Linked DNA regions of Xenopus tropicalis. The protein of the gene in region 5 binds, or shares a complex with, the protein of the main gene of each other region. Links are inferred from orthologs where the notes say so. Each region holds a gene or a part of one and is shown on either strand. Other genes may lie near its edges. The genes, in order: apoo, apool, micos13, immt and chchd3.

Evidence for each region.
Region 1: chchd3 (region 5) and apoo share a complex: the UniProt entries of both Homo sapiens proteins name them as parts of the mitochondrial contact site and cristae organizing system (MICOS) complex. The link is inferred for Xenopus tropicalis from reciprocal best matches to the Homo sapiens genes CHCHD3 and APOO.
Region 2: chchd3 (region 5) and apool share a complex: the UniProt entries of both Homo sapiens proteins name them as parts of the mitochondrial contact site and cristae organizing system (MICOS) complex. The link is inferred for Xenopus tropicalis from reciprocal best matches to the Homo sapiens genes CHCHD3 and APOOL.
Region 3: chchd3 (region 5) and micos13 share a complex: the UniProt entries of both Homo sapiens proteins name them as parts of the mitochondrial contact site and cristae organizing system (MICOS) complex. The link is inferred for Xenopus tropicalis from reciprocal best matches to the Homo sapiens genes CHCHD3 and MICOS13.
Region 4: chchd3 (region 5) and immt share a complex: the UniProt entries of both Homo sapiens proteins name them as parts of the mitochondrial contact site and cristae organizing system (MICOS) complex. The link is inferred for Xenopus tropicalis from reciprocal best matches to the Homo sapiens genes CHCHD3 and IMMT.

The regions. Positions count from the first base shown.
Region 1 is NC_030678.2:43,139,061-43,145,764, forward strand, and holds the start of apoo (MICOS complex subunit MIC26), read right to left. Parts: upstream 4,071-6,704; 5' UTR 4,061-4,070; coding exon 4,052-4,060; intron 4,006-4,051; exon of another isoform or gene 3,991-4,005; coding exon of another isoform or gene 3,973-3,990; exon of another isoform or gene 3,971-3,972; coding exon of another isoform or gene 3,950-3,970; intron 1-3,949. UniProt on the Homo sapiens protein: Component of the MICOS complex, a large protein complex of the mitochondrial inner membrane that plays crucial roles in the maintenance of crista junctions, inner membrane architecture, and formation of contact sites to the outer membrane.
Region 2 is NC_030684.2:63,232,150-63,238,285, forward strand, and holds part of apool (MICOS complex subunit MIC27), read right to left. Parts: intron 5,445-6,136; coding exon 5,325-5,444; intron 5,193-5,324; exon of another isoform or gene 5,073-5,192; coding exon of another isoform or gene 4,992-5,072; intron 3,047-4,991; coding exon 2,992-3,046; intron 2,337-2,991; coding exon 2,238-2,336; intron 1,479-2,237; coding exon 1,387-1,478; intron 1,024-1,386; coding exon 907-1,023; intron 1-906. UniProt on the Homo sapiens protein: Component of the MICOS complex, a large protein complex of the mitochondrial inner membrane that plays crucial roles in the maintenance of crista junctions, inner membrane architecture, and formation of contact sites to the outer membrane.
Region 3 is NC_030677.2:114,329,368-114,336,188, forward strand, and holds the start of micos13 (MICOS complex subunit MIC13), read right to left. Parts: upstream 4,014-6,821; 5' UTR 3,931-4,013; coding exon 3,902-3,930; intron 3,707-3,901; coding exon 3,550-3,706; intron 861-3,549; coding exon 809-860; intron 1-808. UniProt on the Homo sapiens protein: Component of the MICOS complex, a large protein complex of the mitochondrial inner membrane that plays crucial roles in the maintenance of crista junctions, inner membrane architecture, and formation of contact sites to the outer membrane.
Region 4 is NC_030677.2:17,809,052-17,814,235, forward strand, and holds the end of immt (MICOS complex subunit MIC60), read right to left. Parts: intron 4,219-5,184; coding exon 3,995-4,218; intron 3,917-3,994; coding exon 3,785-3,916; intron 3,175-3,784; coding exon 3,045-3,174; intron 2,884-3,044; coding exon 2,276-2,883; 3' UTR 1,912-2,275; downstream 1-1,911. UniProt on the Homo sapiens protein: Component of the MICOS complex, a large protein complex of the mitochondrial inner membrane that plays crucial roles in the maintenance of crista junctions, inner membrane architecture, and formation of contact sites to the outer membrane.
Region 5 is NC_030679.2:85,995,811-86,001,946, reverse strand, and holds part of chchd3 (MICOS complex subunit MIC19), read left to right. Parts: intron 1-3,011; coding exon 3,012-3,147; intron 3,148-5,819; coding exon 5,820-5,843; 3' UTR 5,844-6,136. UniProt on the Homo sapiens protein: Component of the MICOS complex, a large protein complex of the mitochondrial inner membrane that plays crucial roles in the maintenance of crista junctions, inner membrane architecture, and formation of contact sites to the outer membrane.

The DNA.
Region 1 (6,704 bases), on a different chromosome or scaffold from region 5:
TTCAGAAAGGGCCTCAATCAGCTCTCTCTCTAGCGTGTAGCCTATATCCAAACAATAGTCTCAGGCTCATCTAAACAAATGCTTTTCAGTACCTAAGAACATTGAAAGAAACCTAATTTTTATCACACAACTATGTTAGATGTGTATTATATGAAATAATGTAATCCCAATGCTAAGGATATTACGTCATTGGGAGATACTGGCCTAAACAAAAGTACTTGGCTTATGACTTTCTGCTTTATATGGTCATGGAAACTCTTGTGACTATTCTCCTTATACAAAGTTGTATTTTCCTGTAAGGGATACAGGAATATATTTAGAGACACAAATCTTTCCCTTCTGTTTATTTTATTTTTGATGTTTTATCATTGATTTCTGATCACACATACACACATACAAGAGACTGCACTATAACAACAGCAATGGGTGTGTATGCATGTGTCTGTATAAATATAATATTAAATATATATTTATATTCAAAAAGTTCACAATGGTAAAAGTAGGTTTTAAAGCCAGACCTATGTGAACACAGTGTGGAGGAACCCAGGACTATTCCCTTAATAGGACCAAGTACGGAGACAAACCTCATATTGTGACTGCAGTACATTTCCAGCAAAAAGAACAACAATTCCCTTTGTACGGATTCCATGTATGGCATTTTACTGCCCTCTAGTGTCACCATTCTAAAAAAAAAAAACACCACAAGGCAGTAAAGAGACACTGGGGGTCATTTATCAACACTGGGCAAATTTGCCATTGGGCAGTAACCCATGACAACCAATCACGTTGTTGCATTCATTTTTTTATCTGCAAAAAAAAAAGCCTATTTCTGATTGGTTGCTATGGTTACTGCCCATGGGCAAATATGTCCAGAATTGATAAATGAACCCCACTGTATTATATGGCCAATGGCACAAGATGATTTAAGCCAAGATACTAAAAAATCGCAGGGCCCAAGTCACCCCACGTGACATTGCCCTAAAAGTATTAAACCTGTTTTCATCCTGGGTTGCTGCTTCTTTTTTAAAAAGGGAATAGAAAGTGGGTGAGTTTTTCTGTGCTGAAGTCTAATCTTACATTTTGATAAATCTGCGTCTAAATGAACATTAATATTTTGAAGAGTAGTTTTTAGTGTGAGCAAAATACACTAAAAAAATGAAAAATGGTTCAACATTACAACACTTAATACTATCCCATTTCTGTCTGTATATTTCCCATTCACTTAAGGTCCCCATACACGGGCCGACTATAGCTGCCGATATCGGTCCCTTGGACCGATTCGGCAGCTAATCGGCCCGTGTATGGGGAGAGCAGAGCGGCCTGGCCGACCGATATCTGGCCTGAAATTGGCCAGATCTCGATCGGGCAGGTTAGAAAATCCGGTCGGATCGGGGACCGCATCGGCTCGTTGATGCGGTCCCCGATCCGACTGCCCCATTGCCGCCCACATAATCCGATCGTTTGGCCCCAGGGCCAAACGATCGGATTATTTTTTTTTTTACCTAAATGCTCCCCGATATCGCCCACCCGTAGGTGGGGATATCGGGGGAAGATCCGCTCGCTTGGCGACATCGCCAAGCGAGCGGATCTGCTCGTGTATGGCCACCTTAACATTGTAAGCTCTATGGGACCCCCTTTCTCTTGTGTCTTTTAGCATTAACACAAATCTAGTTAGCCATTTACAATGATGTAAATAAAGATCTATATTGGTGGAACAATCCTACTGGCTTTATAAAATGTTTATATTTTTTTAATAGCCTAAATGTATGGGGATCTAAAATACATAAAAACTCCTTATCCAGAAAACCCTAGATCCCAGGGATTCCTGATAGCAGTTTCTGCTAGGGAGTTCATTCAATTGGAAATGCATTTTGTACTTTTTATTACTTACTATACTTATACGTATAATTAGGATACTAGTATATCATAGCTGGTTTATTTTATTTTTTTATAAAGTTTTCTGTACTACACATTTTCTTCAAGAATATTAAAGATACCTGGGCCTTTTTTACTAATTTACCTTTATTTACAACTTTTAGTGTAGTAGTTAAAGGGGACACAAACAAACTTCAGTCTATATGAACTAAACCCCTAATTAGCCTATATCCATCAATTAAAGCCATTTAAATAGAAAAAAAAATGATTGTTAACAGAAACCAAAATAAAGAAGCAAAAATGGTTAAAAATACACCCTAAGCCAGGGATCCCCAACCTTTTATATCCGTGAGCCACATTCAAATGGAAAAATTGTTGGGGAGCAACACAAGCATGGAAAAAATTCCTGGGGGTGCAAATAAGAGCTATAATTGCCTATTTGTTACCCCTTATGTAGACCTTGCAGCCTATATAAGGCTCTGTTTGGCATTACACTGGGCTTTATGCAATCAACACTTGCCTCCAAGCCAGGAATTCAAAATTAAGCACCTGCTTTGAGGCCACTGGGAGCAACATCCAGGGGGTTGGGGAGCAACATGTTGCTCACGAACCACAGGTTGGGGATCACTGCCGTAACCCATAAAAACATCAGCAGCAGTGTAGGAGGGGCCCCTCACTCAGAATCACAGGCTATATGGAAATTTCTTAAGAAATTGGGTAAAAATGGGTTAGGGTGTGTTTTTAACCATTTTTGCTTCTTTATTTTGGTTTATGTTAACAATAAAAAAAAAATATTTTTAAATGGCTTTGATTGATAGATATAGGCTAATCAGAGGTTTAGTTCATATAGACTGAAGTTTGTTTGTGTAACATTTAAATATGTACGCCCTGCAAAGCTAAGAAAACAAACACAGATTTAGGCTCTAACTCTTTAAAATTTGGGTTGTATTAGTTAAAGGGGACCTGTCACCCTACAAATGAATAACTGAATTCCAAATCATTTTCTATCTTGTTAGCTAAACACAATAAACTTTACTTACACAATCTTAATAATTAAAATCTTGTTTCCTTCAGTTTTGGAATTCACAACTACAGCAAGCAGGTGGCAGGTGCCATTTTGTGGGTACTGTTATTAAGGCAAGTTTAGTATTATCTCAAAATCTTGTGTATGTATCAGAATGGGGGACCTGATGCCCATGCACAGGCTACAAGACTATAAACCATAAGGAGATGAGGGGGGGAGGGGGAGAGGAGTGCAATGACATCTAGTAAATGCCAAATGTAAAGTGAAAGTAATTGACTGTCCTGATTCTATGATGAGGCATAGATGCAGGGCAGACAAAATATGACTGACAGCTCACATTTTTAAATATATTTATAACAGGTATGGGTGTTTTAATTTAAAAATTACTTTATTTTAAAGCTTTTTATATTGGTGAAAGTTCCCCTTTAAGTGAATGTGACAGTTTTAGAGCTGAATTAAGGTGAAGATACTACTCAGATTTTTGTGGGCCGTGCAGCCATGGCGACCATACAGCCTGACCATTTGGGCACGTATGGTAAATTTGACAGACTGTGCTCCACAATTACACTTGGCCTTTCCAAACGGAAGATTTTAGCTGCTGATGCCCCTTATTAATGCAGAAGTGAGAGAAGATGCATTCCTTCCTCACACATTTCAGTCTGTCCATTTCTAAATAAACCAACATTGTGATTTGGCCATGGTTAGCTCTGAAGGCACACTGGTACGTGTACATTAGAATGCCAACCTATTACCCACCAAGCATTAGCTGATGAGACAAAGCTCAGACTGTACCTGTCCTGATAAGTTGAACACTGATATTCCCATTAAAAACTTTTGCTGCCCTTTGTAATTTATTTGCAGAATATATTCTATGTCTCAGTGGGGTGAAAATGATACTCTCTTTACACTATTCAATGTGCTCATATAGACTAACTGGCATCTCTGGCTAAACCAGTAGTAGTGTCTGCAGACACTGTAGGTGCCGGTACATGCTGTCTGGCTGCAAGGAGTAGCAATAAAGAACACAAAGCAGGTAAACCTTCTGCATACCAGCCGCTTCGTACACGCCATACCTCATGGGACTCTCTCATCAAGAAAAGGGCTAGCTGCCCACACCTGCCCCTCACTTACACACAGAATACCATCTCTCACCTTGAACATGGCAACGGACGGGAGGTCAGGCTGCAGGAACAAGCAGGCCCCGTTTCCCTTAGCAACACAGAACGCCGAACCGCATAGAACAACAGGGGCTCGCTTGGAACAAATTGCTCCAAAGGCGTTTTTTCCCCTTAGCAAATGTGTATAAACAATGAATTCACAAGACACCCACTCCGGGAATAATTCACTTTAAGAGTTCAAACGGCTGAAGTACCGCTCATAAAATACCACGAAGCAAACAAAACGAAAAAGTACGCCTCATCTGTACCAACCGTGGAAAAATCAGCCTTTACAAGTACATAGGCCCTACAAGTGTTTCACTCCGAGCTATAGGCAACCTATATTTAATCCTACCCGTTGTATTACTTCCCAAACACTGTCCACGGGAAAAGTACTAGGGTATTTAGTATCCCAAGCACTCAGAGGTGAAGCGCTACCATTGTCAATTGGTCAGGGGTGGGGTAGGTGGAGTCTACAGATGCGCCGCCATGGTTGCCTAGGTTACCGGAACCCAGAGAAGCGGGCCGGAGAGCGAGTCTGTGTGAGTAACTAAGCCCCACAAATAGGTTACAAACTAACACTTTTCTGTTCTTTTAAAATAATTTAAAAGAAGTCAGCTTTTTGTGATTCTTTATAGGTCTGTTAATCAGCTGCCTTCTGCTACATTATTTCAAAAGTCAGAACCACCAGCAAATGATAGGGACAGACAGGTTCCACTTTCAAAACATATTTTAAATGTAAATCTGTTCATGTACAGTATATTGGAAAGTTGTTTAGAATTACAGTTTTTTTCATTATTTTGGGGGTATTCCTTTAACAATTTGCCTAGTTTTCACATGGGGCTGGGGCATAGCATTTATCACAAGCTTGCTCTAGAGCAGTGCTGTCCAACTGGCGGCCCGCGACCCCCCTCTGTGTGGCCCCCCACCTGTCTGGCTGCTTTGATGGCTTACTCTTGTGTAAGCTTTAAATGATATCAGTACTGAGATTAACTGGCCCCCTGCATGGTTCTCACCTCAGATTCAGGCTGTAATCCCTCTGTATTGTTTAAACATGTAATCCCCTGTGTTGTTCACACCTTTTAATCTCTGCATTGTTCACCCCCTGCAGTGTTCACACCTCAGGCTCAGGCTGTAATCACCCCCATTGTTCCCCTGTTCACACCTCAGGAGCAGTAGAAACCCACAAATAATCCCTGCACACAACAAAAAGAACATATACTGAGGTGGTACTACAATTAAAAAGTTTTTTAATATATAGTTATTGTGCATACTGTAGGAGCAGTGCCAGCATTGTGTCACTGTAGGCTGCCTGTGTGTGCCATACACACAGGCATCATAGGGCAAGCAGAGTATGGCACACACAGGCAGGGTAGGGAAGGCAGAGTATGGCACACACAGGCAGAGTATGGCACACACAGGCAGAGTATGGCACACACAGGCAGAGTATGGCACACACAGGCCAAGTATGGCACAAACCAGCCAAGAATGGCAAACACAGTGAAAGTATGACACACGCAGGCAGGGTAGGGAAGGCAGAGTATGGCACACACAGGCAGGGTAGGGCAGGCAGAGTATGGCACATACAGGCCAAGTATGGCACAAACCAGCCAAGAATGGCACACACAGTGAACGTATGGCACATGCAGGCAGGGTAGGGAAGGCAGAGTATGGCACACACAGGCAGGGTAGGACAGGCAGAGTATGGCACACACAGGCAGGGTAGGGCAGGCAGAGTATGGCACACACAGGCCAAGTATGGCACAAACCAGCCAAGAATGGCACACACAGTGAAAGTATGGCACACAGGCAGGGTAGGGAAGGCAGAGTATGGCACACACAGGCAGGGTAGGGAAGGCAGAGTATGGCACACACAGACAGGGTAGGGCAGGCAGAGTATGGCAGGTTTTTGCTGTACTACAACCATTAATATGGGTATGGTCATGTGATAACATGGGTGTGGTTTCAAGTGGGTGCAGTTTCAAAAAGGGGAGTGGTCAAAACTGCCTTCCATTATCAGCCCTCCACCACGTAGGTCGGAAAAATTCCGGCCCTCGGTACAACAGAAGTTGGACAGCACTGCTCTAGAGAAATGAGGCCCATATATGGATTATTAATTCTGGAAATAGCATCTGCAAATTACTAACTATCTGTTGGAATGTTTGCAATATTTTTGTTCTGCTGTGGGGCCAATCTACGAGCAAGACTCTTGCTTGTAGATTGGCTGATCAACAGAAAAATTGGGTTGGGGGATCAATGAGCGTTTATAGGAGTGCAGGTTTTACTGGACAGTTTGTAACTTACTATTGAGAAAAGGTGGGTTTCTGGCACTTGAGAAGGGGCCAATTTACTATCATTCAGGAAAAAAAAGTTTTTTCTTCACTTTTTGCCATGTTTTCATGTTGTCACATCATTAAAAACTCAGTGCTGTTTTGCAGCACATACTAATTCCTGATACTGTTTTATAGATATCTGTCACAGTGAAAAGACATTGTTTGTGACTTTTTGATAAGATATTTCAGCAGAAAGCTGTAATATTGGCAACAGTGTTTTTATTGCATATAATGGTCTCCTTAATGGAAAGGTAAAAATTAAATAAACTTTATCAGAAAGGTCTATGTAAATACAGCCATAAGCACTCACAGAAA
Region 2 (6,136 bases), on a different chromosome or scaffold from region 5:
TTTGCTACTGCCCATGGGCAAACGTGCCCAGTATTGATAAATGAGCCCCAGTACTCATTTGCACTCAAGTCATATGCACCCGTTAAATCTATACAGTTCTCTATCTGACCAAATTATTAAAAACACAACCCCCAAAGTTTCAGCATGTTTGTTTTGTGATAACAGAAGACAAATATATGTATCTGGACATCTGGAAAACATATTTCTAACAAAATGCCCTTTTATCCCATGGCTGTCATAATTACACAGTTGAATGCAGCTTGAAATAGTGAAATGTTATAATGTACTTTTTCTTTTCCCAAAAAGGTGACTAGAGACTGTGTGGTAGGCCAATGTTTATGCTGCAGATTCTAGTTTAGCTCATAAGAGCAGCCCTATAAATGCTTCCGGGGCACCAGGCACTGTAGTATGTGTTACAACTAAAAGTCTAGCCCTCCTTACAATAATAGGATTAATCTTATTTCTTAAAAAAAGTAAAAATAATCACATATATAATACTAGTGCTTATTTCTCCGAACTATCATCTTTATTTTTTTTTAAATCCATCACAGTAACCATTCTTGCATTTGAGGACAAGAACTCTACATTATTGATGCTTACTCGCTGGAGTCTCATTTCTGTTTTCAGCAGCAGTTCTTATTTTAGGCTGATGGCATAAGGAGTGTATTCCATGCTGGAATATTTCACATATTTTATTGACATAAAAGTTCCCAAAATGGCAGCTGCTGCCTTCCTTTCACTTCAGTGAGAAATGAGTAAATGCTGGTACTGACCCTTTTCAGACAGGAAATTATCTTTTGGCAAGTACCAGTGCTTTCACGTATAAAAAACCATTTCATTATAAGAACTACAGACTTAAAAGCACAGTTTTACTTGTGTAACTATATTAATACAGAGAATTAATACCTTAAGATCTTCTGTTTGTGTTTGAGGTTTATCTTCTTTGTGGATGCTTGTTTTCCACAAGGAACTCAATGTATCATATGTTTGATGACTTACTGTATAAATCTTTCGCCCTGTTAACTGGAAGAACAAATCCATGCACCTTTAGAAAATGAGTAGTGGAAATGACAGCTCTATAAAGACAAATGTCATTACTGGTTTGTTCCAGTGTTAACTGATCAGTAAGAACAGAACAGTCCTAGCTTTAAAGGCATACAGGTAATTCATGCAAATAGCTTTCTGATCGCTAATATTCACTGTTCAGGTTTAAATATATATAAGAAATAAATTATTCAGCACTCCTGGTGATTCCGGATTTGCAAGAATTGTAATCTAAGCGAAATATGTTGCTTGCGCTTGCAGCTGTTAAGCGACACTGCAGCATCTCAATGATATAAAAAATGGCCAAGATTCCATATTAATAATACATTATGGGCTGCTCACCTTTGCAAAAATGACTGCTTGTGTTGGATAACAAACTGAAATACCTAATGTTGTAAGCCCCAGGGGGTAAGCAATCTTCTTTAGTCTGGATCCTGTTAAAATCAAAATACAACAATCAAAACAGAAACAAGGATACAATAAAAACTGTTTAAAACTGCCAGTATGTAAACAATCTTGTCTCAAAATGCATATGTATGTTTTATCAACTTAAATTATTGAGTTCTATCAGCTGACCTTTAAAATCAGGCTATAATCTTGGCATGAAAAACATTTACTAAGCCTATTAATATATTAGCATTATATGACTTTCAGTTCAGTAGGTAGAAAATGAATTTATAAATAAGGACTTTGATTAAAAAGATGATGTTTGTATATGAATAAGTGTGGTAAGTGGGGCATAACATGAGAAGTCCCTTCTTCCCTAGTGCCCACCACTGTAAGCTGCGGTCTTACAAATAATGTTCCAGCCAAAAGATGGAAATAGAAGGCATGTTAGACTGAATTATAAAAAGGCATCTTGATTTGCTTTGTCTTAACGCTTTTTTTATTTAAGTGGAATCAAAAACCAGCAGACTGCCCCACTGAGGGAACCTGTAATAGTGTTGATGCTAGTTAAAGGATGTGTCCTGGATATTACTTTTGTATGTAGCTTAGGGGCAGGGCCAGATATATAGTGAAACATTAAGCTCTGTTTGTCAGCTACTGACAATATAAAAGATGGACATTTAACAAAAATATGAATTGAAATCAAGATATATACACCATTCAGTGCTACATATTTGAAAAATCTGGCTTAATGTATCATATGGAAAATAACACAGACATAATCTAATAATTTATTGGGATCTTACCTTTTCTTGCCAAGACCAAACCAGCTAAACCGCTAACTGTGATTATACCCAATCTTGCAAGAAATTCTGGAGGAGGGTTTTTCAGGTAAACATAACTATCTGAAACAAAAATCAGTATTATAAGAATCCAAAACCCATTGCATAAAAACAGCCTGCTGCAGAAAGCGGTCCTAGGTGAGAGTAACTGTGGGCAACTAATCTCCCCCTGGGCGATTTGCTGAAATCGCCAGCTCAGCGTGTGCCATCCCACCAGCGACTTACATTTTCGCCGGTGGGATGGTAGTTCTGGAAGATTAGTCGCTCGTGACAAGGGAGATTTGTCGCGGGCGACTAATCTCCCCCTGTGCCCCTGAGTCCTAAGAAGAAGCCAGCACTACACAAAAGAACTGCTTTTGGATAAGATATAAGGTTTCTCCTACTACAACCCTTGTCACATAATAGGTTTATCCTGTTTGGTTGCTATTCTCCTGTCTACCAGTAGGTAGAGCATGTTTAGCAATGCAAAATATTTCTGAATTCATTTGATCTCTACAATGCTGAAATCTTCTCCAGCCTTCAAGAAACCTGCTTTTTGGAAGGGTAAGAGGGTCTGGGGTAGGGTGACCAGAGCACCTAAAAATTCAGTTAGCAGGGCTTGACTAATTGCAGTTTATTTTAAATACAATCAGTGCTTCCTTGCAACATGTATTAGCTGTGTCCCTGAATTTTCAGTTGATCTTTTGCTTTCATCCTTCATGTAGCCCTTTGAACTCACCTTTCCCAAACTGTACTGTATCTTCTACTCCATTTCTGACAGATGAACAAAAATGCTATGAAAAAAGGAGTTGGAGAAGTTAAACTTTATCTGTCCCTACACACAGATGATTGGCAAAATTATACACTTCTTTTGGCCTCACAAATACAGTACAACATGGACTCTCACATATAGCTTTAACTATGTGTTGTATACAGTGTTTAAAGGAGAAGAAAAGGTCTATGTAAATACAGCCATAAGCACTCACAGAAACACTGCTCTGAGTCCTCAGTGAAAAGAAACGCCACATTTCTTTCCTTTTATTCTGTATACATGATCTGTTTCAGACTGCCTGCTGTCATAAAAATCCTTCAGGGCATGGCACGAGCCTGCTCAGTTTATGCCTCTCTCCTCCCTCCCATCATCTCTCTCCCCTGTCCAACTGTGCTGTGTAGTCTGAGCTACCAGCAGCTAGTGCAGTGCTACTGAGAACAAGCTAAATATAGCGTTCTAGCTTGCACTATTGTGACTAATCTATTGGCAATAAAATGCTTTTCCTTCTCCTTTAAACATTTAGGGGGCTAGACCTCACTGCTTAAGGGGGCAAGTAAGGATTGCTAATCCCCACCCTCGCCACCAGATGCAAAATGGAGGGGAGGGAACAAAAATATTTTTTCAGCGTGGAAGAAGGATCTGAAAACCTACTGCTTGCCAATCTATTCTAAATAAATATTGCATGACTAACTACAAAATACATTGTGTACCCAATTTTTTTTTAAACTGAAGATTGTTCCTGTACTAACCGTCCCTTCTTTTCCCTGATCATAGCTATTATTGTATCAGCTTTCAGTGTGAACTAGAGATATATTAGCTACTCTCATGCTATGCTGACCTGTGTATTTTTTATGTTTAAAATTTAATTAAGTTTAAAAAGCAAAATAGATAAAAACTGTCAGCAGAAAAAAGGGAATAATGCATGTACAATACAGGCAATGCAGAAAGCACCATGGTTCTTCTTAAGTAGCTTATGCTACACATTTACCAAGGGGCAAATGAAGGTAGGACAGAACTGTCATATTTGTATATGTATACATTACAATTACACATACAAAGTCAATCAAAATTTGGAATTCTAAATGTTACAGCAAAATTAAAAACATGAAAGGGATTTATGTGTATTTATATACAGTGCAGTAACTGTGCACTAGTAAAATGTAAATTGTTTCATAAGCTCTAAGGCCTCTGGTACACCAGAGAATTTATTCCCCGGATATTTCTGGCAGTGAAAAAAGTCTGTCACTGAATAGGCTACCATAGACATTCAGATTAAAAAGGCTCAAATGGGACAGGTGCTTCTTTTCTGACAGCAATATATTTTATATAAACTTGCTACTAGACAAGAGAGCTTCTATATGAGTTCCGAGAGAAATGTAGGGTAGGGTACAACAATTGACTCTAGGTTGGTATCCTCAGCTGGCCAAAAAGGGGGATCAGGGTCCTAAAAAATATGCATGTATCCTTGTCTTAAGTGTAAACAGTGCAAATGTGATAAAAGGGAAGGTTTTTCAACATCCAACCACAGGACAATGTTTTGAGTTACAGGCACATATTGTGTATGCTATAGTTTGCCTGTGTGGATAGATTTACATGGGGGAAACGATAAAAAAGTTAAATCCTGGATATTACAACATAAACCTACAATAAATGTTGGGAATGTGGTGCTACCACTTTCCAAACATTTTGAAGAACAGGGGCACGCTGCATATCAGCTTAAATATACTTTATTGGACATTATTCCCCCCCAAGAGGGGAGGGGATAATGAATTGAAGCTTAAACAAAGAGAAGTATGGTGGATAAAAAAAACCTGGATTCCCCTTATCCACATGGTCCTAACCAAGATTATAATTTATATCTGTTTTTATGTACTGTGAGTTTGCATTTTTCTTTGGAACTCATGCTCGTGTGTTTGATAGACTTTGTGTAGATATATCAAAACGGATACTTTATTCTTTATTTACAGGGCTGGAACCCTGCAAACAGCAGAAATGATAATGGACTATGTCATTTACTCCTATGGACTTTAAATGGCAGTGTTTTATAAATTGTGAAGGAGTTGCTGTGCACATGGCTTGAAACTTTTAAACAAAACTAAAAATAGGCAAGAAGTTGTACAGCTTATCAGTACCATCTTTCAACCTTTTAATAAAGCATCTTCTTGAAATGGTAAACTCTTAATATGAATTCAAGTCAGAAGTGTGTAAAAACTTATCTGTTTGGGGCAAAAATATAAAAACAAATATAAGTAGGAGGTCTATATTAAAGAACAGGATGAAGTAGAGATGGGAGAACTTACCTTGCCCCATACCACATAAGGCCAAATAGTTTCCCTCACTGAAGACAATCCAGACTGGAGACGGCCAGGGTGTTCTTCGATATATTTAGATTTTTGTGCAGGAACGGAATAAACAGATAGCTATAAATAAGAGATATTTTGTTTGCATTTTCAAGGTCTAAAACAATGCCTATATATGTATAAATGCTCAATTATGGTACTGATTGGTGAACACATTTATTAACTCTCATTCTGTATTTCAAAATCATCACTTAACATGTATCTCTTATCCTGTTCAGCAGGGTTATGGGTAGTTTTGAAGCTTAAAGGGAACATATACCTCCTTTGGCATCAGCTCATGCAGTTAGGGTTAGGAAGAAAAGTGCATAGACACTATCTGAACTTTCAAAAATAAATATAAATGCAGCCTTTTCTGCAGGGGTTGGATTCCCTCCCCCTTAGACTCACAGAGTGATCCAACCCATTCCTAACTGTATTCCATTGTGAAGTGATGGATTTTGGGACCTGAAGCCCCTCTGCTTTGCGAAGAATCTAAACCAACCACTATGTAAAGTAGAGGGACTTCAAGTCCCAGGATCCACAAAGTGAGGGAGGAGTTGCATCACTTTGTGAACTTCAATTCACTTTGTGGAATCAGGTATGTCTGTTAAAAAGAATAATACATTTATATTTACTGTGGGAAGTTCAGCTCAACTGAATGAGCTCTTTTTAAAAAGGAGGGTATAATTTCCATTAAACACTGACAATCAGAAGAGCCTATGACTTCAAGTGCTGACATGAGAATATGCTACAATCTGCACCAACTGGGTCAG
Region 3 (6,821 bases), on a different chromosome or scaffold from region 5:
TGTTGCAGACAAGTTCGGGCCTAGCTCGTCTGCCACCCTCTCCGCCCATGACCTAGCTGAGCCCTGCTTCCAGCTATGGCAGCATCTATTTAAAGGTGAACACCTGCCCCGTGATGTGGAGGTGCGGGGTGGGCGAAGGCCTATAAATAGATGTTAAAGAATAAGTAAACTTTTTTTTTTCTATGAGTTCTCTCTTCAATTTGACAAGGTTGTCGGAGTGGAGAGCCTTCTGTGCATGCCTAAAGGCAGCAGGAGCCAGTCTGTGCATTAGCCAGGTTTTTTTTTTGATAAGAGACCTGAACAGGAAGTGGGGGCGGGGCTTCACTCTGCACAAGGAAGCAACGAAAAAGAACACCTTCTGATTGAGGAACCCGGTCAGAGAGAATGCTGGGACAAAGGTAGGTAATTCTGGAGGCTGTTTAGAGTAATTTTACTTATTCTTTAAGGGGCGGGTGCAGGTTGACTATTTGTCAACCCGCACATTACTATTACATATGAAATCCCTGCATTTTGACAGCTCCACAGGTAGCCAATTAATAAATGCTTTGGATTTAAAGTAACAATGCACACCTACATTAAACACAATTAAGAAAGCATTTTTTTTATGTAAAGTATACATTTGTATGTGTTTATTTTGTGATTTTTTGTAACATATGGGTGTCCAAGTGTCTTACACTATAGAAGCTACAATTTTGTTTGTTTTGTAAAGCAAACAATCTATACAAAGAGCATGTAGATTGTGTCTAATTGTAATTCACATAATGGCATTTTATTTGGATTCTATTCAAGTAATGCATGGAATCCTTACCCCAATTCCAGGACTCGCAGATAGAGAAGTCTAATTTTGGTGCAGATGGGATCTGAAAAAGATCATCTTAAGTTTACCATAGACTATCTGGTCTCATGATAAAAAAATGTAACAGAGCATGATAAGATTTGATTCCCAAATTACAAATGCTAATTCCAGGCAGTGTCATTCTATGGCTACTAAAGCAAATAAAGTGCTGTCTTGTATAAAAAAAAAGGGCATTGACTCAAGGGATGAGAACATAATTTTGCCGCTTTATAGGTCCCTGGTAAGGCCTCACCTTGAGTATGCAGTGCAGTTTTGGGCTCCAGTCCTTAAGAAGGATATTAATGAGCTGGAGAGAGTGCAGAGACTGCAACTAAACTGGTAAAGGGGATGTTTTCCGGTGCTTGTGAGAGGACATGATTACTCTGTATAAATACATTAGAGGGGAATATAGGCAGTTGGGGGATGTTCTTTTTTCCCATAAAAACAATCAACGCACCAGAGGTCACCCCTTTAGATTAGAGGAACGGAGCTTCCATTTGAAGCAGCGTAGGTGGTTTTTCATGGTGAGGGCAGTGAGGTTGGGGAATGCCCTTCCTAGTGATGTTGCAATCGCAGATTCTGTTAATGCCTGGATGGAGGGGCTTGGATGAGTTCTTGAACAAGCAGAATATCCAAGGCTATTGTGATACTAATGTAGCCAAGCTGGTTTCCTCTGAAGCTATAATAACAAAGTACAAGCATCCTGGATGTAAATTGTTGTTTAAGGGCCCCAACGCTGCCGGCTTATAGGACATTAGGGGAGCTCCCAAACTTTGTTGTTAGAACTTAACTGCTAGTGCAGTTTACATTGCATTGCACTGTTATTGCTATTTCTGCCTGTTCATACTTTCTGCATTTATCTGCATTTAATTTTTCTAACTCATTTTCAGCCCAGTTCCTGTGTAATAAATCTGGGTTTACTTCCTGTTTGTGTTGGTATTTACTGGGAATCTTTGGGGTGTCACCACAGTCACAACTACAGTACACCAAGCCATACCCTAGGGTGGGCTACACTAATATCTACAGTTAGTATTAATTTCTGTATATATAGTTTATGTATGTGAGTGCATAGATAGGTCAGTATAGGTTTGTGTGCTGGGTTTACTTGGAAGGGTTGAACTCTGGTCTTTTTTTCAACCGTATGTAACACCTCCAAGACCTCTCCCATGCTGCAAATATACTTAAAAATGCTATTTAACAATTGTCCATGGGTAATACACACAGACATTGAGAAAAACAAAGAATACATTATTTCTCTGTGTGTATGTCACTGTCACAAAGAATTACATACAGTGGTACATACATTTAAATAGGATTTTGCCTGTTTTAAAATCAAAGTGCACTACTCCATCATATGTTTAACTGTTCACAAATGAAGGCTTTCTATGAAGGTGCATGTCTTTGGGGAAACTGGTTGATCCACAGGGCAATAAGAAAACTTGCAAAAGCTTATTTAAGATACATTTCATATTACATTGCCCAAGCAAGCATTTAGCCTTAAGGCCCCCATACAAGGGCCCATGTAGGGGCAGAAACAAGCGGGCTGGCCGACCGATATCTGGCCTGAAATTGGACAGATATCGATCGGGCAGGTTAGAAAATCCAGTCGGATCGGGGACCGCATCGGCTCGTTGATGCGGTCCCCGAACCGACTGCCCCATTGCCGCCTACATAATCCGGTCGTTCAAGCTCCCCAATATCGCCCACCCGTAGGTGGGGATATCGGGGGAAGATCTGCTCGCTTGGCGATCTTGCCAAGCAAGCGGATCTTACTGTGTATGGGGACCTTTAGTCAATGCATTTCCTTATTGTAAGCTCTAGTGAATAGGGACCTCTCTTCATTCTTACATGTTATTGTTATCATTTTATATACTGTATAATTCAGTCCCAGTAAAGAGCTTTAGAATATGTTGGCACTACAAAGTATACAATAATGTACTAGTTTAAGGCCTTGTGCATGCTACAAACATAATCTACATTGGTCTAAAATGCTTAAAGAGGTAGTAAACCTCCATGTTTGACTGTTTAACGCGAGCAATGCATAATCTACATTGCTTAAATTTAGAGCAGCCACATCACCTCAGGCAGTTTAATTAAAACATGCTATAAAAACATTTACACATGCTCTGTAATGTACTGATGGAACTGTGGCTGTATAGCACTGTACTAACCTGTACAGGAGGGATTGTGCCAAAATAAGTTACGCTGTTCCTTATACAGGTATAGGAACCATTATCCAGAATGCTTGGGATCAAGGGTATTCCAGATAAGGGGTCTTTCCGTAATTTGGATCTCCATACCTTAAGTCTACTAAAAAAATCAATAAAACATTAAATAAACCCAATAGGATTGTTTTGCATCCAATAAGGAAAAATATATATATATATATATATATATATATATATATATATATATATATATATATATATATATATGTGTGTGTGTGTGTGATATGGTACACAGGGAGGAGCACACCCTATACAAGTCCAAATGCCTTTGGTGCAGGTCAAAAACAAAAATATAATAGAAAGAGTGCCGCACACACAGGGACTTGTGGACCTGAGGAAGAGCACTGGTTGTGCTCGAAATGTTGGAATTTTTTCAATAAAAACACTTTCTTTTGTATCAAGTCCCTGTGAGTGCGGCACTCTTTCTATTATATATATGATATGGATATATAGACACACACACTTACACCTCTTTAATTAGTTTACCTGCCAGCCGAAGTAATTAGCCCATTCTTGAATGGCAGGCGGTATGGCAGCTGTGGTCTTCTTCAGCACCTCCTCTCCTTGGGTGCCACTGCCCAGCAGCCCCTGGTCATACGCCACATACACAGCTCCCCCAGCCAGGCCTGCTTTGGTGGCAAACCTAAAATGAGTAGGAATTTGCTAAAACCATTTATTTCGCACAGACTCATTCTCCATATGAAGCAGAAAGCCTTAGGGCGTGGTATTCGTAAAGCTTGAAGCTAACTATATCCGACAATACAGCCCAGCAAGAATTCTTGAATACGGACATTTTCTGTCAGTAAGTTAAAAGCAGCAGCGCTTGACACAAACTCACTTGAGTATCCTCAATGCTGCGGAAGCCATTTTTCCCCCTCCAAGGACACGCCGCGCATCCAGCCTCTCTACTTCCGATCACATGAGACGGACAGTTCGCAAAGCATCTCGGTAATTGTAGTGTAGAGAAAATATATGGGTTTTTTCTAAACGCTTGCTTGAGATAACAAGCGTTTAGTTTGAATGACCCTCGTTAACTATATAAATGGTGACATTGTTCCATAGCCTGTATTGTTGCTATATATGATACAATTTTAACTATAGCTGTTCACATAAATATAAAACATATGAACAAAAGAACTACTATTCAAAGTTTACATTTTTTAGCATACATAAAGCGTAGTGATAATATGGTTTTTGGTTAAGCAGTTGTGTATTGACATTGTATAAGGTGCCACAGGATAAAGAAAACCTAGAAATAAAATTTTGATCACCAGTTAAATTTTGGCATTTAGTACAACTAGCTGTACACTAGAATACTTCCCATTTTGTATGCAATGTGTCAGACTGGGATTCGACCAAATCCCAAAGTAAAAAGCTAAAATGGGAGAGCAAACAAGAGGGCAGAAGAAAAGACACCACAGCAGAGTACAGCCCAGTCCTGTTTGGATTGACCAATGACCCCCTATACCATTGCTGATGTTGGTTTCTGACCAACCAAATAATCTGGTTTAGAAAATCAACACCAGCTCAAGAATCAAGAAACCAAATACGGTAGCACTACTGTACAAATATGGATGCCACCTTTTCCCATTCTGAAAGCCAGACAGGGTGGGGTGGGTATCATTTGGCACATTGCTACAGCAATCTGGAAAAGTTCTGCATCAGTGTAGGAGAATCCTGCTTATTTTTCTTGTTTGGAAAACTGGCCATGCAGGTTTGACCCAGACAGCCCTTTTGAAAACTGGGCTGTCCTGGTAAAAAGCAGGTAGAAACCAGAAAGGTGGCAGCATAAAATTAGCCATACCCATTTAATCCTTTTAATACGCCCAATGTGATGATTTGTTATTGGCATTGGTTATTGGTATTGGAGGATAAGATGGTGCAAACATCAGTTGTCTCATAAATGCTCAAATACTTTAATTCTTTGGATGGTATTCTTTTCTAATCACAAGCGTAATGTTTACAACACCCCAGAGGTAGTCCCCAGCACTAGTGGATGCTTACAGTAGTCCCTTGAAATCTCCTATTCCTGACCCTAGCGCTTGAGTCCCTATACTGGCAGGTGACTTTGCAGGGTACTAACCTTCCTTGGTTTCTTTGTTAGAGTCTCTGACTACTCTACTAACTACCCTGATCCTGGCTTTCACTCCTAAAGCAAACTACTACAAAACCTTCTAGTGCTTTACCTACTGAGTTTTACCTCAACCATAGGCCCTTTAACAAACCAACTCTTCTAGCTAGTGGGGACCAAACTCACAGAATATGTGGTACCTTTCCTTTTTTAAGAATAGGGAACCTGACAACTTGGTCAGTTACTAAACTGCCAGGCCACCTGGCCTGTATTTTATCAGCCCGGAAAATGATATTTGGTCTTAATGTTATTAAATGAAAAAACTACTATTTAAAATATGAATCTACATAAAGGGGCACATTTCCTAATCCACGAACGTCCGAAAAGCGTCCGAATGCGTTTTTTTCGTAATGATCGGTATTTTGCGATTTTTTCGTAAATTGTCACGACTTTTTCGTCGCCGTTATGACTTTTTCGTAAATTGTCGCAACTTTTTCGTAGCGTTACGACTTGCGCGAATTGTCGCAACTTTTTCGTAGCCGTCGCGCTGAGTTAGAAAGTTTCGGATTCATTCAAGCTTCAGTATCGTGACTTTCCTTGGGCCAGGTTGGAGCTGCAGAGTGCCATTGAGTCCTATGGGAGGCTTCCAAAATCAAGGTTTGCCAGCCGTCGTAACGGCTTTGAAAAAGTCGCGACAATTTACGAAAAAGTCGTAACGGCGACGAACAAAATGGCAAAAAATACGAAAAAGTCGCAAAATGTTCGTTTCCAATCCGAATTTTTCCCATTCGGATTCGTGGATTAGTAAATGTGCCCCAAAAAGTTACCTATAAGTAATGTTAATAATTTTTCGCTGATAGGGCTGGTTTTGTAAGTAATTGTTACTTGAAGTTCCTAAACCTGACTGTTTTGCCAACCAGACTGTCCCTTCTCAGCCTGTCAGTTATAACTTCTAATGCTAATGGACTCCTGCTGCACAAATATGGCAGCCCCCTCATAGAGCAACATGGGGGATCAGATAGGTAATGTAAAAGCACTGGGGAAATACTTTTATGGCAAAATTATAAATAGCATGCAAAAACAGTGTTATGACAGATGTAAAAAAAGGTTTCATTTCTGGTGTCAGTATCTCTTTAATAGGAAAGAAAGAAAGATAAATATATATAGGAAGGCTGATATTTTCTACAGAAAATGTGGCAACTTTATTGGGAAACAACTCTTACTCCCAATAGTAAATCAAGATGAGCTCTTAGCTGTCCAAAACCCTCCTACGGGACTACCTGAATAAAAGGTTGGCAAGACCTTTACCCTTCTACACTAACAAACAAGATTCAGTCACCTGAAATTGTAAATGTTTTTGTAGATGAGATTTTAGATTAGGTTGGTTGGTTCTAATTTAAATATAGAAATTAGGGTTCACATTTTGAAAGATTCTGTAGTCAGTAAAATTTCAAGTCATCTTACAAATATTCTAACACTGAAAAAAATAACTCTATATATGGTATGGTTTACTGAAATATTGCAGTGGAATGGTTAATTGCTGTTTAGCAATTTCCAGTGTTCTGTACCTTGGCAATATGACATATCTTGTGGTCTGTTTTTATCATCTCTTCTGCTCAAAGAACAAAAGATAAAACGAAATGTTATTGGCTATATACGCAATGCAGATTTTGCAACTCTCCTATAC
Region 4 (5,184 bases), on a different chromosome or scaffold from region 5:
ATGCCACATCAGCGATTATTCACCAACAAGTGACAGACCGCTGCATGAGGCATAAATCATCGGATTAGAATTGAGAGTGCATTTCATAGATCCCATAAGAGGGAGACTGTTAAGGTGGCCATACATTAAGAGATTCGTGTTTGATGAGGTTGCCAAGCGAGCGGATCTTCTCCCAATATGCCCACCTACGGGTGGGAGATATCTGGCTAATTCTATCATTTGGCCCTAGGACCTAATGATCGAATTAACACGGGGGCATAGGCACCATCGGTTCAGGGAACCGTATCAAGAAGCTGATACAGTTCCTGATCCGAAGGACAAATCAAACCTTCCCAATCAAGATCTGGCCAATTTCAGCCCAGATGTCGGTCAGGGTGGCCCGTCGTTGGTGCCCATCCATGGTTAAATCTGTCTAAAGGACCTGAATCAGCCTGTGTATGGCCACCTTTAGAATCAGTTCAGACTGGTATGAAGTGATATTGAGTCAAGCAGAAAAGAGTAAGCTCCCCATGGATTTGCCTTTGTGCTACATCTCCAGTAAAAAAAAAAAAAATGATCTTGGAGGTTTTCAAATGGAGGGTTTCCTGTTGTGTAAACAACTATGTAAAGCCTATTGGTTCCAATACACATGAGCTTGTGTTGGGGGGAGTGCCCAACCCTTAGGGATACTGTGGGTTTAAATTGCTATGATATAGATTGGAATGGTTTCTATTCCAGTATCAGAGGAAGCAATTCTGGAATAGGGGTGGCTAGCATGTAGCCCAGTACTCCTAGGCTCTTGTGTATCCTTTGAATCTTCTGTGGTGTCTTCAAGCTAAAGAACAACCCTAATGCGCCGGGTCCTCTTGCAGTTTGTCACCCATCCATGCTGGGTTAGTGGCACATTGTTTATTGCCTTTGGCTTTTTCTTGGTGCAAACTAGGATATTATAGAGCAGTGATCCCCAACCATTAGGCGCCATTTTTACATTTCTGGCTCGGAGACGTTTTACTCCAAGAAGAGCCTCCTTCAGCCTAGCAGTCCACAAGGGGCCACCAAATCACAATTCTTATTTGGCATCTCCAAAGAACTTTTTTCATGCTTGTGCGGATACATATGAGTGTGGGTCATGAGTTAAAAAAAAAAAAAAAAATTCAGGCACCACTGTTATAGAGGGAGAGTATACAAACAATGCTCATTCTGAAGAGTCAGGCTCCTGCTCAGTAGAAAGCCCGTAGGGGAGGGCACTTTCCTGGCAGTGTCCCTCTATGGGGATGTGTATATAAGTCTTGGAAGCCAACTGCTTCTTGGTCATTATAACTAATTGTAGGTTGTTTATGTGGAATCTCTGCTTTCCTGTGTAAACGGGCACTGGGGAGTCCCTTATTTCTTTACTGACCATGTATAAGTACTTCCATACATCCTAAAGAACTGACATGGGGGGCGGTTTAACATTTAACTTGTAGCCAGGGTTACGGAGTCTGTACATAAATCCTTCGACTCTTTTTTGGTACTTCCAACTCCAGGTACTCAAAATTGCTTCTGACTCCACAGCCCTCCCTTGTGATTGCTGGAAATGAATTTTCCAATGTATATTTATGCCCCACATATTGCTTGTGGCTGCTATAATCAAGTTTCTAAAATGTGAGCATGTTCTGCCCTGGCCCTGGGGCCAAACAACCATCTGTTGGGGGACCACATCAAGAAGCTGGTACGGCCCTGAGCTGACGGCAAACCTGCCCGATCTGGCCAATTTCAGGATGTTGGTCGGGCAGGCCCGTCATTCGTGCCCATACATGGGCCAATAAGCTGCCCAATTGGTCTAAAGGACCCATAGCGGCAGCTAGAATCAGCCTCTGTATGGCCTATTGGTCTGAATTCTATTATAATAAGGGCAATATTTCCCATATGGCAGGCTATCAAACAAAGCACTTAACACAAATAAGATCCAATTTATTAAGGCAAAAATATATAGTTTAGTCTTCATCTCTGTTTATTTGAGTGCACTGGGAGGGAGCAAGTTTGACAGCAGTAGATGGTACCGTTTGGGTTGGATCAGTGGAAGCCGGGAACATAAAGACGTATGGTATGATACTGAGGGCTTCATGATAACAAAGAATAATACAATGCCGTGGTATCTCGGTACCGGGGAGCCGAGTGCAACTAAGTGGTACTTTGATTGGGTAAATAATTTTAACAACTCAGAACTTAAATGAGGTGACTGTTTATGGGGGACGGGATCATGAATTTCAACACTGCAACAAAATGTCAAATTTTGTAGTTTTCTGTGATGTCACTACTGCACTTGTGTTGTGCCCAAGCCCACGGCACTGGCGTAAGCAGACAGGATGTCTATAACTTGTCTCGTTTCTAGCGTTAATCTGGCCTCGTTCAGCCAGTCGTGCACCACCCTTCTGGACTCTCCTTTCAGCTGATTGATGAACTTTGCTGCCAATTCTAGATCCCCACGTTCCACGCAGAAAGAGGCATAACAAAGTAATTTGAAGGTGTCGAGGTCGTCGGGGCTGAGTTCGGTTGGTGGTTTCAGCTCCTTTGGCTCAAAAACAAGAAGGGATTGCAGGTAAGATAGAAAATATTGGTACAAACTGTTTCTGGTTTCATCGATCAAGGCAACCCTACGGGCTAATTTACGGACGGAATAGAAGCGGGCTCTCAGGGACTCCTCGCTGTACACGCCGCGGTGTAAGGATTCGTGGGGAATTGCCCCAGTCAAGGCTTCGGTGAATTCATTGTTGGAGCAGCTGGAACGGATGCCCTGGACCGCAGTTTCAAGTGGTTCCGTGGGGCTATCGCCGGCGGCTGTCTTCATGGTGAACTTCAGAGCTTCCACCGAAAGCCACAAATGATGGGCTTTCCTGGCTTCTTCCTCAGCAGCTGCGTGCCCTGAAACACACGAGCAGAATTCCATATGTGTGAGGGGGATCTGTGATACAGCTGGACACTTACTGTACCAAACCAGGCCTGGACTGGCAATCTGTGGGTTCAGGCAAATGCCAGAGGGGCTGCTGTAAGATGCCATAGACACAGACATTTTCCACACTTACCCTCGACAGCCTGCTCGATGCCCTTCAGTCGGGAATACGCCGTGTTCATGTCCAACGTGAATCCGTCCAGCTGTTCCTGTGCCAGGCGTTTAAACTGCATCTCTTGATCGGACAGTTTCTCTGATAATGACTGGGGGAAACAATAGCTGTTAGGATAAATGTGGTAACCCTCTTGTAAAGGAAAAGTTAACCCTCGGAGCATATTCATGTAGAATTGCTGGCAATGCTCTTTTGAGCACTTCTGCAATTTAGATTTGTTTCATTTTTCTAGTTTTTCTGTTTAAAACAGCGCCACCTGCTGTTCAGTTGGCAAATTTAGTGATACTGCTTGGCTTTTATATGCCAATTTGTCAGGCTCTGGGGATTACATCCCAGGAGTCTGATGCAATAAGAACACGGGGGATGATTTAGAGGCATGCAAGAAAGTTCTCCGATACCCCCCCAGAAAGCTACTAAAATACATAAACCTTTTCCATCTCATTTCACATGGCTGTTAAGTGGCCAACATTACATATATGTATACAAGCAAATATACTCTTCCAAGCAAACAGATGGGATTAGAGCAATTTATCACTGTATGGGCCAAGCTCTGAGTTACCATATAACTCACTGCTGCTCGGCTAATTAACAGCTGATTAAACGCTGCTGTGCCTGGCCCTTTAAAACTACTGACAAAGGCATATAAATAAATAGCAGCAGCTTAGTCAGTTGGTCTGTTACTGTAAGTTGCAGCCTCTAACCTGCTGGAATTCTGCCTTCAGTTCCTGCTCCTGGACATTCAGGACATCCCTTAGGTGATCGCTATGAGCGGCCGCCTGTCTGCGCAGCTGGGTTCTCATCTCTGCCTCCATCACCTCTCGCACTTCCTCCGCCTGCAATAGCCACAAGGGTAATGACATTTCCCGTAACAGTCTCTTTGTGACCTACAGAAAGAGTTGGCCGTTGCTGACCTTTTTTTCCTGCTCCAGGTGGATTTCGGCTCGGTGGTGCTCCAGTGCCTTGGTAACGGCAGCCTCCAGTGCCTTTTTGTCCTCCAGTTTTTGCTTCTCCAAGGCGGCCTCGATATGCTGCTGCTCTTTCACTCTATACTCTGCCAGCTGCTTGTGCAATTGGTCGATGCGCCGGTGGGCGTGGGCTATCAGGGAATTCAGGTCGTCTGCGCTCAGCCGCCCCGCTGCACAGAAAAGGCAGAGTTAAAACCCCAGTTTAGAGCCCACAACAAATACATTAAGCAAAGATTTGCAATAACATTTTAGGGACTCCAGCAGCTTTCATATGCTTCTATAGAGCCCAGTGGGTCTCTGCTACTAGTTATGGCTTTGATTAAATAGTTAAGCATTCTACAAGTCTATGCATTCATCTCTGGATGGCAGAACTTGGCCCCTAGTCCCCTAGGGGGTGGTGTTTTGCAGGCGCGGTCTTACGTTTATTTGCGCCTTAATGCACGCGCCGCGTTCGCTTTTCTTGCTTACGGCGCGTTCGTTCATGCCTTTCAATGTGAAGCGCGTTGCATTTCCACCTCTCTATGTGCGCCGCATTGGGCTCCGGGGGAACGGCGGCGGCCCAGTGCCAAGCAGTACACGGCCCAGCGGTTGGGGACCCCTGCCTTAGACCGTTTTGGCAGCGAATTGGCCCGTGTATGGGCACAACCGACGGGCCTGCCCGACCGATATCTGGCCTGAAATCGGACAGATCTCGATCTGGCAGGTTAAAAAATCTAGTTGGATCGGGGGCCGCATTGGCTTGTTGATACGGTCTCCGGACCAACTTTGCCTATACCCGTCGTTATAATTCGATCTTTTGGCCCCAGGGCTAATTAACCTGGATTCTCCCGATATCGCCCACCCGTAGGTGGGGTATATCGGGAGAAGATCCGCTCACTTGCCATCATCGCCAAGCGAGCGGATCTGAAGGTGTATGGGCACCTTTACTATTCGCGGCCTTACTAAACACCAATCTTTCAATGCACAGACTTTATCCCTATTTTATGAAGTGAAGCCCGGCTATGAGGAGACAGCAGATGAGAATAATGAGGAAACGTAGGAGCACAGTTACACAGGGTACACACATATGGCATGCGTGGGTTTAGACAAACACACAGAGGTTTAGGGAAAGTGACCATTCAAGCGCCTCCTAGTGG
Region 5 (6,136 bases):
AACATAGCTTTCAGGCCTTGTGTGGGCTCTGAATTATCATCCCAATAATCTTTATACCATGGTGATGGTCGATCGGATAGGTTACATAGTTAAGATGGGTTGAAAAAAGACCAAAGTCCATCAAGTTCAACCCTTCCAAGTGAACACAGTACACAAAACCTATACTTTACCTATCTATACACTCACAAACATAAACTATATATACCAACATCAATACTATGTGTAGATTTAAAAATGTATTTTATATTACATTTTATTACTTATATAGAGTAAGTGAAGTTTATTTTGCTTGACAAACACAATAGCAAAGAATAAAAGACTCCTTTGTCTCTTCATTGGCTGATGTAACCTAGCATGGATATGTGCCCTTGGTTTTATTTATATGAATCAAGGTTTTATATATGGACTGTTTTTTGTGTGTCAATTTATGTTCTTATAGTAATCTGTATACTGCTCATGGATGTAGGAGTTAACTGACACCAGTTTTCTGTATTGGCAGTGTACCAATGGCAGTGCATTAAACACAAATAAAATTGGGGCACAGACTATAAGTTGTAGTACAGACTGTTCTCACAATATATTTTTATTGTATGACAGTGTCTGAATGTAAAAGCAGTATTAATACTAGAGGCATTAATGCTAGAGATCAGCATTCAACCTTTTTAAGTGGAAGAAGACAAAGACAGCATTTAAATCTCAATATTATTTTGAACTGAACTAAAGCTGTTCTGTATAAATGGGTTACTAAGCAAACACAGATACATTTCCGAGATCAAATATAAAGAATACTGGCAGAAACCATTGTGGATTTTGTGTTTATCGTAATTGTTCTAACTAAATTTTGCAGAATTAGTAAACCATAAAAATTGGTAGGAAATCTAATTTAAAGCCATGGTGAGCGAATTCAGTAGTTTTGCTTATTTTTAAACTAACTTTGAAGCATGTAATTTGGTCACTTTGCTAATTTTCCTTTTAAAACAATGTATGGTATCACAGGGGACAGGTTTGGTAAACGTATTTTGAGGACAGCATGCAGTACCAGTTAAGCCATTTCTATTACAGTACATTTTTTATTGGGTTAAACTGTATTAGAGCACAGATTATTTTACTCTTAGAAAAAAATTATATTTTTAATACATTTATTAAAAAATGTATAATCAAATCAACCAAATTGCACAAAAACATTTAAGGCTTATGGCACACAAGAACAACAAAAACCATGTTAGTACAGCATGGATTTGCAAACTTGAGTCTAAAGCACAAAACTTTCAGAACAGTGGTTTCTGGACAGATAAGATTGATGTGCAATATGTAGCACCATGTCTGGTGGTAAAGCTCAGTGGCAGTCGGTTGCTGATGTAGCTATATCTTGTAGCCGCAGGGCCTGGATGTGCCAGATCACTGTACAAAAAAGTACCTAATTGATCTAATTAAACGTTAACACCAAAAGATTAAAGTGTTTTATATAGACGTAAAAACAATGTGCTGTTACACTGCACTGGTAAGGTTATGTGTACCCATAGAGCTAGCCATTAAATCTGAATAGGGCAAAAAGGCTTATGTTTACACATAACACTCATTTGTATACAGTTTCTTTGGTGTAAAATATTTTACAAACGTTTATAAATATGCCTTTGTGCATTTAGGACAAATCAGTCAGCTTGTATTACTAGTTTTACAGTTAATGGTATAAGGGTATAAGAAATACCGTACATGCTTGGAACCATAATTTTGATCAACATATTTTCATTCTGCTAAAAATTATTTAAACCCAGTAGGAATGTTTTGCTACCAATAAGGATTTACACAGATTAGGATCAAATAGAGGGTTCTGGAATATAGTTTCATCTGTTCTTTATTGTTGTATGTTATACTTTCTAACTGGTTTTTTTTGTAGCGCAACATGTGTGCCAGGCAACTAAAGTGGTTGTAAACATATTAAGAAATTTGTTTTCATGAAAATGTGTAACACGTTCTGTATGAAGTATTTACAAGCAGAGGTTGCAATGGCTTCATGTTTGTCTGACTTGGTATCCATTCCTATGTTTTATGGCTGTATGTCTGACAGTAATCGCATTTGGAGTTTTCCCAACAGTGAAAACTGTGCATTAAGTGAGCATAACAAGTACCTCAGATCAATAATGAGGCCAGCACTTTCCCCTTGTATGTTAATCTAGGAAAATTCTTTGTTGGTGGAGGTAGAATCATTTCTGTTGAGGCCTCATCAATATCACATTTGAGTGCTGGAAATGGATATGGTGGCATATGAAAATACAATGAGTGCTAGTCATAAGCAGACAAGATGTCCAGGGATTAAAATGAGTATTGACTGTGGAATGAAAAAGCTCATTTGATTTATTACATGCCAAGAGCAGTGATATGTGTGGGTCTCTGTTAATGTCACCTCTGGCATTTTATAAAACACACAGCTCCCATGTTTTTCCTTAAATGTTATGTATGTTAGGGGTTGACATAACCTTTCTATCAATATGCCACTAGCACTTTGCTCCGAAGGCATTGCTATACATAATAAATGGGGTTAGATAGAACTAAGAAACCAAAAAACATTTTAAGATAAAACGAATAGACAATACATCAGGAGGAGGCAGCACCCTTTCCCTTGTGTAAGATTTAAAATCAGTGCCAAGTTCATAGTGTAGGGTTATCAGGCAGAAAGGAGCCTTGTACTTAATACCAGCCATAGACAGGATGTAAAGACAGGGATCCCTGTGCACCTATTTTCTGCCATCATTAAATCGGTCTTCACACTGATAATCTGTCTCATAGACAGCCATCTAATCTAGTGACTTGTGGGCTAGTTAACCTTCTTGGTTCTGTTTTCAAACTGATATGAAATATCCTGTGCTTTTGCAAGTAATGTGCATATTTAGATATCAAAATGTAGTACTAAACAAAGATATAAGATTTAAAAAAAACCTGATCCATTGAATAATCATATTCTTGTAATTACAACAAAATGTATTGACAGTGTCCTTCATTTTTCCACTTAGGCGATATGAGGCTCATCCAGTTTGTGCTGACCTGCAGGCTAAAATTTTCCAGTGCTACCAGCAGAACCCACAGCAGTCTCTTAGCTGCTCAACATTGGCCAGCCAGTACCTGCATTGTGTCAACGGTGCCAAACAGGTGAGTGTGAAGCTGCATGGTTTGGTGTGCTTGGAGGGAGAATGCATATCTGCAACCTGTTTTCAGTAAAAAAAATATACTGCACTTTCTTCACGTTCATGTTAGTGATAGAGTTGAACTGCATGTGGCATGTTCTTGCTCTGTTAGAATACTAGGGCAGTAGTTAATAGCACATGCTGAAGCTCATAAGGCAGAGAAGCACTTGCACCTTTTTGTCATTTGTAAAGATATTACCTTATTTATGTGCTGATCAGCTTGTCTGAAGTTTAAAATACAAACTGTGATCTCAGATTAAATTCAACGATCTTATAATGGTTGGTCTTGTAATGGAGGATGTGAATTATACGTTGCCCAGCGCAGTCAGACCAAGTTCCCTATAGACCAGCTGTATGTTTAATATTGTTGTAAGGTGGGAGGAATTTGTGACCTTAAGCTCAACATTTGCCATAGGAACATTTATAATCTAGATGTCCTCACAGTAAAAAAATCCTTTCTGTAATGATATCCAAATTTTCTTTGCTTCAGCCTTCATGGCTCATTACTTATCACCTCTATTGTCACTAGACCAATATATGATATTGGTCTGTTTATTTAACTGTGCATGATAATTATAGCACCTATGTAGAATCTAATACATTACTTGTGCATGTATGATTTGTGTATTAAAGGTCCCTAAGCACAGCAATAAATGCTCTAGACAGCTAAACAAAGGTAGATGCCAGGGAAAAGGGGACAACAAGCCAGAATTCACATGATGTGGGGTATTAAATATTTTAACTGAATAAAACTGCTTTATCATACAGTAGCCTTACTATAGGTCTTTGCTGCAGCACTGCCTCTGTGTATTTCTATACCTCACAGAATGTATGCCATGCATCTCTCTTTAAATTATTTTAGTTTATCCTGTGATTCTTTATTTTCTTTAATTTCTGCATGCACTCACCAATCAAGCCCTCCCCTTAATTGACTCATCTCTCTCTAATATCCCCTTTCTGCTTTTTTGCCCAATAGATTTTATCCAACAGCCTTTGCTGTTTGCTTTACTAATTAGCTTTTTTTGCCTTTTTTAATCTTTTCTTTATTAATACTTCATACAAAGTTTAAAGTAGCAAAACTTCTGCATAAAAGGTAAAGCTGACATGCAGTTTGCATCTCCTTATGCATCTTCCTCCCTGCTTTTTTACTGTCATCTTCTATCCTGTGCTTTTTACTTAACTTTTCTTTCCCTTTGCGCTTTGTCCATTTTCCCACCCACAGTATTTTGCCCTCCCTCTTTTGACCTTTGCATTTGATCTCCCTTTGCATCTATTCCCAACCCTACCACTCTTGTGCCCTACATTTTATCCCACCTTTTACTGGTTTATTCTCATTCTGCCTCTGCACTTTATCCAATCTATTTAGTCCTCCAGCTAAACTGACACATATGTGTACTTGCCTTCTATATAGATTTTCCAAAAATATAACCTTAGGTGGGATAGCTATTTTTTTTTAATATTACAAATATTGTATACATATATCTTTTTATATGTTTCACATTACACAAGATATAGTAGACACTGAAATACAATCTACATTTAGCCTTATGGGTTTACTCTGTTTAATATGTTGCAGTCAGTAAGTTATCATCAACTGCTCAGAGAATATGGCAGAAGTTATAAGATTTGATCCTCTAGGACAACCGTGATCTAACACCTTTAATTTTGCAATTGTACTGCAATATTAAAAAAGTTTAATGCTTGAGAAAGTAAGGTACAGCATTTGCTGGAAGGAAAAGAGAGAATGTATTGTATACACATGCTGGAAAGATGCAGATCTCTTGTGAACTGAAAGTTTAGAAACCAGCATCCTAAGAACAGTCTCAAAATTACATTTATTGATTGTTTTTTTCCTTTACCTCAGTAAAACCTACATTTAAAAATACAAAATGTTCTTGTTCTTCATCTGCCTTTACATCGAAGGGGTGGTTCAACTTTCAGTTAACTTTTTTTGTTGTTCCTAACAACTGTACTGTTGGTCATTATTTATTTTTTATAGTTTGTTTTTTTTTAATTATTTGCCTCTTCTGCCTTTTTCCCAGCTTGCAAACTAAAAAAAAAAAATTGCACTGTGAGGCTACAGTTTTATTGTTTTTGCTGCTTTTATTATTTATCCTCCTTTTCATTTTCCTCTCTCTCATTCAAAGCACAAGCTGAGAATGGCAGAGCAGGTAGTGCCATTTTACATTATGTATAAGACTTTGTGGTTAATTTGATAATGAGCTCTGGAATATGGAAGTAATCCTAAATAAAAGCTTACATGTGTGAGGTGTACAAATTTAGACATATAGAACTTCTTACTAATTTCAAGATTAAGATTAATGGCACAGGGAGGCATTGTCACTGGCTTTCCTTTGCAGGCAGATAAGAAAAAAGGGCTTCCGTTGGCTCCTTTCTTATATCTGCACTGACAGGCAGGTGGAAAGTATGCATTTTCTAGCCAGTATATGCTCCGTGTGTCTGCACTCAAGCCAACAAAATAAATGTCAATGCAGATACTGGGAGGAGTAGATTGGCGCACAGAGAAAAAACCCAGGCAGAAAGAAGCCAATGCACAGTGCCATTAGCCTAAGCAGGATTGGGTTATGGGTGCTCTGAATGCTCTGATCCGCCTCTAAATTATTTGTTTTCTTCCAGAGCCTGCTTGGGAGAGGAGGGTAGAAGCCCTGTTTGTGGAGAAAAAGCATCTCAACCCATTTTAATATAAGGCCTCAGAAAAGAATAAAGCAAAGGACATAACATGATCAACGCTTGCAGTTATTCTTTATATCCACTTTGATTTATTAAATTATAAAGGTTTCTTATTGGATTCTTCTCTTTTTCCTCATAAGTGGCATATGTCATGCTTTGTCAGACCTTAAATATTGGCCTGTCTATTAAAATGCAATTGATGCCTTTTATGTAATGTAACCTGATGTTATATTATCTTGTATTGTATTTAACAGTTGCATATC